3 linked regions of the Coturnix japonica genome follow. The main gene of each other region encodes a partner of the protein of the gene in region 3 in a complex. Links are inferred from orthologs where the notes say so. Each region holds a gene or a part of one and is shown on either strand. Other genes may lie near its edges. The genes, in order: NMU, guanine nucleotide-binding protein G(i) subunit alpha-1 and NMUR2.

The links.
Region 1: the proteins of NMUR2 (region 3) and NMU are in contact, whole or in part, in a cryo-EM structure (PDB 7XK8), measured with the Homo sapiens proteins. The link is inferred for Coturnix japonica from reciprocal best matches to the Homo sapiens genes NMUR2 and NMU. Residues at the interface, in NP_064552.3 of Homo sapiens: Ser42, His43, Gly98, Glu102, Glu105, Met106, Trp107, Arg108, Asn109, Tyr110, Pro111, Thr123, Phe126, Glu127, Asn181, His185, Pro199, Ser201, Thr203, Cys204, Val206, Tyr213, Phe284, Arg288, Phe291, Glu295, Trp297, Ser298, Glu299, Ala302; in NP_006672.1 of Homo sapiens: Glu146, Phe152, Ala153, Ser154, Gln155, Gly158, Tyr159, Phe160, Leu161, Phe162, Arg163, Pro164, Arg165, Asn166.
Region 2: the proteins of NMUR2 (region 3) and guanine nucleotide-binding protein G(i) subunit alpha-1 are in contact, whole or in part, in a cryo-EM structure (PDB 7XK8), measured with the Homo sapiens proteins. The link is inferred for Coturnix japonica from reciprocal best matches to the Homo sapiens genes NMUR2 and GNAI1. Residues at the interface, in NP_064552.3 of Homo sapiens: Thr78, Thr80, Glu143, Arg144, Ala147, Ile148, Pro151, Phe152, Ala154, Leu156, Met239, Leu243, Gln259, Cys262, Arg263, Val266, Leu330, Ser331, Arg333; in NP_002060.4 of Homo sapiens: Glu28, Ala31, Arg32, Leu194, Ile343, Ile344, Lys345, Asn347, Leu348, Lys349, Asp350, Cys351, Gly352, Leu353, Phe354.

Annotation. Positions count from the first base shown.
Region 1 is NC_029519.1:58,656,296-58,660,662, forward strand, and holds the start of NMU (neuromedin-U), read left to right. Parts: upstream 1-1,558; 5' UTR 1,559-1,563; coding exon 1,564-1,783; intron 1,784-3,380; coding exon 3,381-3,439; intron 3,440-4,367.
Region 2 is NC_029516.1:10,219,444-10,223,012, forward strand, and holds part of guanine nucleotide-binding protein G(i) subunit alpha-1, read right to left. Parts: intron 3,308-3,569; coding exon 3,265-3,307; intron 3,188-3,264; coding exon 3,046-3,187; intron 1,116-3,045; coding exon 958-1,115; intron 1-957. UniProt on the Homo sapiens protein: Guanine nucleotide-binding proteins (G proteins) function as transducers downstream of G protein-coupled receptors (GPCRs) in numerous signaling cascades.
Region 3 is NC_029528.1:5,368,996-5,373,038, forward strand, and holds the start of NMUR2 (neuromedin-U receptor 2), read right to left. Parts: upstream 2,856-4,043; 5' UTR 2,698-2,855; coding exon 1,981-2,697; intron 1-1,980. UniProt on the Homo sapiens protein: Receptor for the neuromedin-U and neuromedin-S neuropeptides.

The sequences.
Region 1 (4,367 bases), on a different chromosome or scaffold from region 3:
ATGTCTCCAAGGATGGGGCATCCACCACCTCCTTGGGCAGAGTTCCAGTGCCTCACCGCCCTTACTGAAAAAGCTTTTTCCTTATATCCAATCTAAATCTCTCCCTCTTTTCATCTGAAACCATTTCCCCTTGCCCTGTCACAAAAGACAGTTTTAATGTTTTCATGCAAGTGGATTCAGCAAAATAGTTCGATGTGCAACGTTAAAACAGATATCACATAAATTCAACCATGCGACCTCTGTGCATTTCTGAAGTCTTCCATCTGAGAAGATACCATTTTTGTGCTGTGCATAAAATGTTATTTGCACCTCAAGGCAGGATAAGAACATTGACTGGGATTAAACTTTCAAATTTATAAAATACTGTCCTTTATTTTCCCATGCAATCTTTTGAACAGTTTAATTAGAAGGTATTAATTAGCAAAATGCACAACAGATTAAATCCCTCCAAAGGCCAAAGCTCAGGGTGCTAATTTATGTATTTGGATTAAGATAGATGAGGGAGTTACCTTTCAGCTCTAATGACTACCAGTTTATGATGATGCCTTCTAAATAAATATCTGTTTTTATTAAGAGAAACCAGAACCAAATGCAGTTCCTTGTTTTGGATTAAAACACCTCTTTTAACTGGGTAGATGTGAATACAATAACAAATACAAAATACAGGCTTTTTAAATTTCTCTTCTGATCCAATAAATAGTATTTCCATCAACACAAGGATTAATTCTGTCTCCACTCACATCAAGAAAAGCTTTGCTATTGAACATGATATAGAAGATCTTCCTATGACAGATACACTGCGCAGCCGGCACCAGCCCAGCACCCTGCTGTGCTTCTTGTGTGCTGGTGGTGCTGCATTGAGTTTTGAATCCTCAGATGGGCTGTACCACCATATCGCTGTGTTCTGCCTCCTGGTGTGGCAGTTCAGGTGTGTGTGCACCTTCCCTGCTGTCATAGGGCTCACCCAGTGTCAAGATAAGAAGCTGATTTCCGCTATGATCGCAAAGTTGGGGCTGTGCAGAGCTTCCTCTGCTGTCATTCTGGGGATTAAATGCAACAGTGCTGCTCCTTCCAGTAAATTCTCTTTCCTTATTAGAAAGAATTGCAGTTCTGCCCTAGAATTGCAATTCTGCCCATGGTGTAGATGGGGAAGCAGAGTCAGCCACAAACACACCTGGCGGCTTCTTTATCACCTGGCTTCATCCTCCTCTCGATTAGAGCTCTCCAGCTGTCAGGTGGGGTTCCAGTTTTAGCATCAGGCAATGCCCGAATCTCACCTCCACCCCCCCTAGTTCGCCTCCACCCCCTCCATCCGCGGCAAGGGGCAGCCGGCCACAGCTGGGGTTGTTCTTTTAAAGCGAAGAGTTTTTTTCCCCGAGGGGTGAGGTGAAGAAGCAAAGACCGTCCGGTTTCCGTCCCGAAGCCGAGCGGGGCCACGCACAGCCGCAGGGGGCCGGGAGCGGGGCTGAGTCACCGGCGGAGCAGAGGGGGTCTGCCCCGGGCGGGGGAGGGAGGCCGGCGGGGCGGGCAGGGCGGCTGACGTGCGCTCCGTGAGTCAGGGTGATGCTCGTCCACGTGTCAGGGAGATTTAAAAAGTTTGTGCAGGGAGCGGGGCACGGACAGCGTTGTGCAGAGCAGGGCACGGCGGCTATGGCACAGCTCTGCCAGCAGCAGCTCCCTGCGGCCATCCCCCCGCGAGGCCCGGGCAGCGGCGGGGGGGTGCCGGGTTCCCCGCTTCTCTTGCTTCTCTTCCTCCTCGCCTCCTCCGTGCGTGTCTGCAAAGGTGAGGAGCATCTTCCCGCAGCCCCATCACCGCAAATCTGGGGGGCGGAGGGGTTACCCCGGCGTCCCCGCGAAACCCAAAGCCTCGCAGCGCTCCGTCGGGCTGCGACGGGGGAGCGGGGTGGGATCCGTGCGGGGGTTGCGGAGGTGCCGAGGCCAGGGCCAGGATGGGGCTCGTCCCTGGACAAGGGTTGGGGTGAGGAGAGGGGCTCCTCCACCTGCCCTGGGGATAACTCTGTCCCGGCCAAACTGCGCTCTGGTAAAGGGGGAAAACGGCTGTAGATCAAACCGATGTGATCGTAGTGGGGATGGACGAAGTTGATCAGCTACTTAAACAGGGAGACCGGTTATCTGTAGTGTCATTGAGAGTGCTGTGTTACACCTGGAAGCCGCTATTTTTATATGAGGGAGCACTCTAAAGTGAGAGCAGCTGATGGGCATTGCAACAAAACACAGTGCCTTGCCCTGCCCGTCCTGCTGTCCCATTCTACGTGCATGAAGTGCTTACACCTTGTGAAGCACTTTACATCACCTGTCGCCGTGCACCGAGCAATTAGTTCTGTTTGCCTGTATTGGGGATGAGCGAGTCACTTTCATCAGGAGCTTTTGTGCTGGGTATTTGTAACGCACCGCATACTGTGTTAGAAATGAATTCTGGAGATGGGGGAGAGAGGAAGGAGGGAAAAGGAGGGTGAGGAAAGGCAGCGACACATCACACTGTGCTCACAGAGATGACTGAAATCGTGCACCTGACACTTGCGAAAGCCCCTGTGTAGGTCCAGCAGTGTTCAGGGTGATGGAGGGATGCTGCTTTGCACTGCTGAGACTGCACCTGCCATCAGAGTTCTGTGAGTGAGCTGAGGAGGGTTAAGGAAACCTATAGGGTAGTGAATCATGGTGCACTCATGGCTACCAAGGCACCAGTCCCAGGCAACGCTCCAAAGTGAACACTCTGAATTAAGAACAGAATACAATGACAGTGAGAACTGTAGCACACTTAATTTATTTGGAGCTGTTCCTTGAACTAAAGCACGCATCAAAAAAGCACAGTTTTCATTGAAAGGCAGTTTTACTGCCATGTAAACCTTGCAGAGATTTCAGAAATAAGCAGTTTCTACGCAGGATGAAGTTAAGACTCCCCTCTATCACTGTTCATGCTGATCTCAAGCCTGTGTCAATACCAAAAGGAGCTTTTGCAACATATCTATTATGCCTGGAAGTTATTCCTGTTGCTATTTGTGCTACTTGGAGATGCCGGGTTCACATCCTGCTCACCTGGCTATTCTCATTAAGACTACCTTCATCCTTTTCTTTGTTTAATTTGGCACAATTATTTGGGGAGAGACAAAAAGCACCAGAGGTAACTATAGACTTTATGGGAGGCTGTAAAATCTCTGCTTACCAGTGACCGGTAAAAACAGAGCATGAACTGGCTGGGTATGGTCACAGACAGCAACCTTGGGCACAGGGATAAACTGGATGACTCCTGGCAAACCTTACCATGCCGAGAGCAGACACGCTTGGGACACGCTGCTTTTAGGATACTCACAAGAATGACCCCTGCTACGCAGTGTTGCTATCGTTGTTTGTGCTTCCAGGTGTTCCGATGCCATCCCAAGCGTTGGAGGCAGAGCAGGAACTGCAGCTGTGGAAGGAGGTGAGCTCTGCGGGCAGGCTGGCTTTGCCAACTGCAGAAAGGCCGTGGCTCTAGGGTGAGGGCTGGGAGCATCCTTGCCAGCTTATCCCTGGTAGGTCAGGGATACAAGTTGAATGCTATTTCTTATTCCAGTCTTTGTTGTGGTCACGCCTTCCCTCTCCATGCTTTCTCTCATATGAAGTTCAGGTGCTTCCAATCCTACTTCTCCCACGTACCTGTTCTGACATTGGTGAAGATGTGAAGCACCTAATTTTCCAGATTTCCGAACAGTATCCAGAGATTTGGTGCTGAGATTTCATGTGGGGAACAGACTGCTTTGGCTCAGCAGAGAGCTCTGTTTGGTGACAGTGATCCTCTAGCTGTCATTGACCAGGAGGTCACTGTTCTTGGAAGCAGCACAGTGTCCCGATCGATACTTTTATAGTTGGTGTATGATAGGCACTGACTGTTTCAGCTCATTCAATCAGTCTCTGGCTTCTTCTGTTCTGCAGACAGGGCTGGGACACAGTATTCAGTCACATCTTAGCATCTTAATTCACAAAGTAGAGGATAACACCCCATTGCAGTTTGCCTTTCTAACATTTTTTACTAACCACAACTATACTTTTAATTCTCATCTCTGAAATTTATTCCATGATGTTACTTGTGTGTTGGCATGAGCTCTTTTGTACCCATTTGGAGCAGATGGAGAATCAGAGCATAACATAGATAGAGGGTTCAGCTTGCAAGTTGTGTGCCCTGCCATTGCTGTAACTTTTCAAGTGTTCTGTTGATATTTAATTTTGTAGCTTCTGATAACATTACAAAGCAAGTGACTCACCCCGGGTACAGCTGCACAGTGTAAATTTCTTCCTTACTGTCAATGCATTTTACAAGTATTGACTCAACCACTGTCATGTTCTTAGCCCGGCACTTGAACAAGTCCTGG
Region 2 (3,569 bases), on a different chromosome or scaffold from region 3:
AACATCAATTTTACTATGAAACTGGAGGCAAAGTTATCTAAAACAACGAAACAAAAAAGCAGAGTTTACTAGAGGAAGAGGGATCCTTCTAAATGAAGAGCTCTGTACAGAGGGAAGTTTATATACTTGTGCTATTATTGTTTAAGTCAAGAGATTTGTCACTGTGAGCTCATCTCAACAAGACCAACAAACAAAGTAATGATCATGCTCGAAATGTGTTATTTATTAAGAGTGTCTTTCATTACATAACTTCATCTGTAGTTATCTCACTGTACTTTAAGTTGTTTAGGATAACAACTGTCACACCTGTCTACCATCTTACTTTGTCCTTATCTGACTCTTTCTTAACAAACTTACCCTTACTTACTGTTGTCATACTCTATTCATCATACCTTGGATTCCTAACTTTTTTCCTATTATCATTTTTCAAAGTACCCTAACACAAAAAAATACAGCTTGGTTGTTATGTTTACTCTGTATGTCTAATAAATACTGTAGGTTAACAAAGAAAATGTGGCAATTTGAATTCTACTGGAGAATTATGTAGAAGAAATTTGACATGAACATGAAATTGAGTCCTTGTAATACAGATTCACATCAATTAGTCATGTTTCCTGGACATGTCCTGATACTGAACGGGTAACCGAGTCACAATTTTGTAATAAAAATGCTACAAAAAATACTAAAGTATCTCAAAGTATTTTTTTTTCTTCAAAATAAATCTAGCAACTGATCAGAATGTGACTTAAACTCATAGTTATACACCACATCTCTTTTTCTCTGTTCTCAAAGGCTGCGTTTTGCATTCTGATCCAAGTATACAATATCTTTGGCTAGATATTTCTAGGTTTTCCATCTACGTGGGAGGAGAATTACTTAAAAATTTACAGTTCTCTTAAATTTTTTATCTACTGCATAGAAAACAAAAGAGAGCCTTGTATGTCACACAGTACTTACTAGGCAGCAGAGTCATTAAGCTGGTATTCTCTAGATCTGTTGAAACAAGCTTGTACTCCACTGTCTTTCCACAGTCTTTTGATAACACCAGCAAGCTCTGCAGTCATAAATCCTTCCTCTGCTGCTCCAGCTAACACAAAGAGTTGACGAGCATCATCCTTTAGGATGTAAACAAAAAGTGGAGAGAGAAACATTGAGGAATACAACAAAGGTTATACTAAATTCCCCATCACCTAAGAATAAAAACTACATTCAGCAAGAGTTACTCCACTTGGTATACATGACTATAACTAAACAAAAAATGTGAAGGAAAGCAATTAGTACCCTATGTTAGATATTACTTCCCACTCTTTTCAACAAGAGAAAAAGATGAGTTCAGTAATTTCGCAACAGCTGATAAAAATTCTGATCAGTTTATTATTTGAACTAAGCTTCTATGAACAGAAATATTTTATACACTTTGTGCTGAAGTCTACATTAACTTTATTTTATTGTTGTATCCTTCAGACAGAACAGAACAGTTACAATGCATATTAGAATTAGAATGCTAATCCCAGGACAGACCGTTTCTGAAGTTCCTGTTATAACTTGTGCTCTCCTGATTCAGTAGTTTCATGAAAGAAAATATTCAACTTGTTACTTTGCCATTATTCTGACAAGGGAGAACAGGCAATTTTCCAAACAAATTTATTTTTTTCAGAGTAAAATCTCCAAAAATTCAATTCAAAAAACAAAGGAAGAGCCTGAATAACAGCCTTCCTCAGGACACTGCAATTTTGCGTATTTTTTCTTCTGTAGAAATGCTAATAAAATCAAATAAAAATTAAAGGCCTATATTTAGTACAATGAAGAACATCCCATAGACTTTCTAAAAAGGCAGACTTGCATCCCAAAAACATTCCTTTTTCAGTTTTTCATTTTGAAATTACTTCAAGACTAATACTTATTTTCAATAGCAATTTTTCTTTGTAAAAAGAATTTAGATCACCAAGACCTGCTTAAGTGCTACGGAATATCCCCAACAGAGTTTGCATTCAGGTATATAGCTCTCTGAAGTTGAAAAATTCCTTATCATACATGATGAAAATGAAAAATTCGTATAATACATAAAATAATTTCACAATCTTCTTGTCAGTCCTTTTATCTGATAAAATCTACACTTACTCTCTACTCCATTTTCTTTCACTTCGTATTTAGTAACAAAAATATACAATCCACCTTTCTTCCAACATTAACTGTCAGAGATCAAGGAGGACTTCACTGTACAAATGAACTAATATGCACTCACATACTGATCCTACCCTGAAAATCTCTGGTCTCATATCTACATTTCATAAACGGCATCTACCCTCCTGATCTGACAGGGACACAATCAGGTTCACCACATATAAGTATACAGCATTAGGAACTGTAAAGTGATAAGCAAAAAGTTCTGCAGACTGGCTCCAATAAGTGGATGAAAAGAGATGAAAAATGTACAAGAAGAAGGGCAAGAAATGGGCAACTGTTTTCTTGGGAAAAATCCTTAATCCAGTGCTATCATCGAAAAAAAAGGAGTACAAGCAGCAGCACTATGCCTGTAGAGTACAGTAAAGTAATTCACACTATTAGTCAGTATGATGCTGGATCTGGCCTACAGGTGAGAATGTTTTAGGCACTACTGTGTCTGTGACTCAATTGAGAAGTGTTGAGAAGTGCAGAGAACAGCTAGATGCCTACCTGTTTAATCTGTGTTTTTTAAGGAAAGCAATGATCACCTTGAAGGACTTACAGCAGCCCATTAAGTAAAAATTAAGAAGTACAACTACAAAGCTTACTATTTTTCAAAAAATCCCTCAGACTGGGATTTACATAGAATTTGGAGGTCTGTACATAAACAAAATAGTTGTGATGAATCAACCTAGAGTTAACTGATCAGTAGAGCACTTCACCATGTAGAAAACTAAATGACATTTCTTTTTTATCAAACCTTCTAGCCTACAAGGACTGTTGGATATGAAGAGATTTTTTCAGGAAATAACAGTGGATAGAAACTGAAACAGAATGGATATTTCAGCTGTATATGCGCACGTTTACGTCAATACTCACAGCCCTGGTTGGATCACCAAAGTCTATCTTCAATCTCCCCATTGCTCTAATGATAGCAATAATTGACTGAATGGTGTTACTGTAGACAACAGCTTTGTACTGTTTACATTCTTCTTCTGAATAACCAGCTTCGTGGATAATCCTACGGAAGGAAAAAAAAAATAAATTCTCTATTCAAATAAAAGAAGCCTCTCTATGATTGTATTTTACTATACTTACTTCATTTGTTTGACAATTGTGCTTTTCCCTGATTCACCAGCTCCTGAAAAATAAATGGAAATTCATTACATTTTTGCGCATCTTTGAGAACACATTTAATTCCTGTTTCTACACTTCAAATACCTAGCCAATACAAAAAACTTCAACTGTTCCAAACACATTACAAATTATTTTTAACATAAAACCTAAATGCCTCTTGCTAAGCTTCAAAATTGAGATATTTTGACAAGAAATCATTCAACTCTGGAAAATCTTTGTTCTTCTTTTTGTGCATGAGAGCATTAAACTTCATACAGCTTAATAGT
Region 3 (4,043 bases):
TTCCCCTTTGTAGATGCCTCAGGTAGGTGGGCAAACAGGTCTCTGGACTCTCTGCACTCTTCATTGAATGTCAAAAATCCACACTACCTCAAGTACTAGAACTTGACTTTTATGTTGTAGTGTTAAACCAGAAAGTTGTAAAATTAAACCCATGTTGATCATGAGGTGGTGGTGATGAAGTAATCAACCTGAAGTCTCAGTTGGTCATGTGAGAAGGACAGATAAACATATATATTTATGTTTAAAAGTAATGAAACTAAGAATTAAGTCAATGACCACATGACAGGGTACCCTTTCACAACTGCCTGATGTGTCACACGTGCTTCCTTCTCTGTTTTGTCCTGAGGCACAAACTCTGGAGCTCTGTCAAAGCTTGAAGGAGAAACTATATGAAAAAGATGCTCTTCCACAAAGTCAGCTAGAAGTGATGCCTCTGCCTGCTGAAATGGAGATGTTTGCTGAATTGCAGATGTTGTTCAGGTTAACTCCGAGCTTTTCCACTGCTATCTGTGAGCAATGCATGGCACTCAGGAGATTCTGCAGTGTCGCTGAAGCTTGAAGGTTTTCATCAGCTGTGAGTAGTGAAAAAAAGTCTTCTCTTGGAAATTACACATGCACACCATTTCCCTATCATTTCTGTCGAACATAAAAATGAAACCTTTGCCCAGCACAGCTTGGAATGCAACGCAGACAAACCGGGGGCACGTGTTGTTAAAATCTGGAAGTAACAATTGGATACACAGAAAAGCTAAGGCATATACAATAAATATTGCAGCCCTTAGGAAAGACAGCTTGAACAAGTCTATCAATAAACAGATATCCCTGGGGAGCAAGCCCTTGTTTGGCACCTGGCTTCTCTTCTAGGATGAGGATTAGGAACTGTGAAACTATGCAAAGATTCCACAGCAGCCACTGAACTGCAGTTGCTTCAAAGATCTTCTGAGTGTGCAGACTGCTGGTAGATAATCCCTTTAGCTTTTCCAGGGTAGGGAAAAATTTCTTTTCTCTAGTTCCAGAGAGCAGTAAATACCAGCCATAACAATAAAAAGATGTATGAGCTGGCACAGATTTTGTTGATTTTCTTGCACGTTGTTTGGTAAGTTAATCAGTCTTTACAAGCGTGTTGCATCCCTTTCTTTCTCTGTGATCAAACACAGCATTTTAAACTCTAAATTATATCCAGTGCAGTGAGATAGGATTCATATTTCTGAAATGTATGTAACATAAGAGAAGAAAAAACCCACAGATTCTTTATGATTAGTAACACTGGGCTGTACAGGTTAATAATGCTGTGATGCTGACTTGTTTTCTCCTTCTATTTAAATAATGGCAATTGGCAAAACTAGTCTCATTTTCTGAAGAGATCCCAAATGTGAGCTCTAAGGTAGCCTTAATCAGTGGTGAAATTGTACTACAGTTATCCAAAGAGAAGACTGCTGAAATTGCTAGCTGCAGCAGCAAGGGAGCATTTCAGTTTGTGACAGCTTTGTGAGTTTTAACAACTGAATATTAACATCCTCTCCAGGGAAGGAAAAAAATAGAGGTGTAATGGAAATTCCACAGTTACAAGAAGAGAGAAAACAAATCATACACAGGATTCTATCACCAGCCCACTCCTTTTCATTCTTTCCACATTTTCCTTCTGTTTTATTTCCTTCTAGTCCCTATCACAGAGGTGTAAATCTCTGAGAGGTTGGAATCATCAGTCTACACAATGGGATGTTTAAATGACATTCAAATGTGAGAAGCAATAGGTTCTCTTTTAAAAAAGGTTGGGGTGTATTATTTCAAAGCATTGCTGTATTCTTTTGAGCACAGGATTACAGCAAAGAAGGGGTGTTTCCGGGGGGGCTTCAAACAGATAATATTTATAAATATATATATTTTTGGCAAGACGGATGGGCAAGAAAATGTTGAAGTCACAGACACAAACACACAAGAATGAGTTACAGAAACACTGAGCACTTGAGCAGGACTTACTCTTAGCCCCATCAGATAGTACAGCACACTTATGACCCCCATAGGCAGCACATAGAAGAGGAAGGAAGTAATCTGGACAATCCAGTTGTAGATCCACATGGGCGCAACCACAGTGCAGGTGGCAGAGCCAGGGACCATGGTGCCATTGGGGAAATATTGCAGCATGATACCATGGGTGCCCATGTTGGGGAGGGCAAATAGGACGGAGAGGACCCAAAGCACCACGATGGTCCTCAGGGCACGCTTGCGAGTGCTTTCCAGCTTGGCACGGAAGGGATGGAGGATGGCAAAGTATCTCTCCACGCTGACTGTGGTCACGCTGAGGATGGAGGCAAAGCACACCGTTTCAAAGAGAGCTGTCTTGAAATAGCAGCCAATGGGACCGAACAAGAAGGGGTAGTTGCTCCACATCTCGTAGACTTCCAGTGGCATCCCAAAAAGTAGTACAAGCAGGTCTGACACGGCGAGGCTGAAGAGGTAATAGTTGGTTGGGGTCTTCATGTTCCGGTGCTTAAGGATCACCAGGCAAACTAGGAAGTTACCAATCACCCCAACAACAAAGATCACAGAGTACACCAGAGCCATGGGCAAGAACAGATGGCTGCGTTTGGGCCCACATAGGAAGGCTAAATAATCCTCAGTGCTGTTTAAGTACCTCCTGAAATGTTCCTGCAGAACAAGGTGGTTAAACCAGGAGGAATTGCTGATCCAGGCCATTATTGGACCTGCTGAAATGTCCCACAGCTGAAATCCAGCCTTCTGTAAGTCCCTCTGTGCTAGTTCACTCACTTTTTGCAGGGAGATAGAGAGAGGAGTTGCCTTGCCAGACCTAGATGCACAAAGCCACGGAGAGATGAGTGTTTGCCTGGCTTCGGTTGAGGGTTTGCTGTTGTAACAGCTGCTCCCCTGTGAGGAGTCCCTAAGCCAGAAAGCCCCTCCTTTCACACATATTCATTGGCTCACTAAGTGCATTAGATTATAGAGTAAGAAAAGAGGTTCTGGCTACTTGTATTAGCTCCTGTAGCAGATACATTTACAGAATGAGAGATGTGGGATTCAGAGAGATGGGAATGTGAAATATAGGGTGAGAAACTTGCCGTGAGATGCTTGTGTTTGTCAGGTGGTGGGGAACCAGACACAAAAAAAAACTGTGTTGCTGCTCTCCACCAGCAAAGAAAGAAAATCCAGCATGATTTTATCTTTCATATCTCTGCTGATTTTTATTCTCTGTTTGCTGCAGCAGTAAGTACTTGGAAATAGAGTGTGATTGGCAGAAAGTCGTCCTGTCTTTGTAGTCATTCCTGTGGAATAGGTATCTATACAGCTTCAGCCTCTTTTTAAGGAGTATATATATACATATATATATATTTCTCCTGAAATCTGACACAGGGTTTTTATGGCTCTTCTTATATCACACTATTTTTACATCTTTTATCAGGGAGCATTGTGTCAAAGTGCACATGCAATTTGCACTGGGGGGTTGGAAAAAGGGCTGAGAAGAGATCAGAGAATGATGGAATTTGATCTCATTTGGGGATCATATCTTTCTGAAGATCATATTACTCCAAAGATGAATTTAGTGCCTCTAGATCTGAATTTACATGAATTCTCATAGATTTCTTCTTCTCAAATGAAAACTATTCTACAAATGTACTTTCTGACCTACAAGGGTGATGACTGTGTCACAGTAGAGTATTTAACTCCTGACTAATTCCTGATCCCTCGTTGAGGTGATGGCCTCAAGATGCACCAAGGGAGGTTCAGGTTGGATATTAGGAAACATTTCTTCTCAGAAAGAGCAGTGATGCAGTGGCACAGCTGCCCAGGGAGCTGGGGGTTCAGTGTCCCTGGAGGTGTTTGAGAACTATGAAGATGTGGCACTGAGGGACATGGTTATGGGCTGGGGTTGGACTTTGAGATCTCAGGGGTCTTTTCCATCCTTAATGATTCTGTGACAGAAGGCATCACAGTTAAGTGTCTTATTGCATTCTAACATCTTCTCTGACCTACTCTTTCCTACTTTAACTTCTGAATTAGCAGTAGTCCAATAACCTTGGAATTTA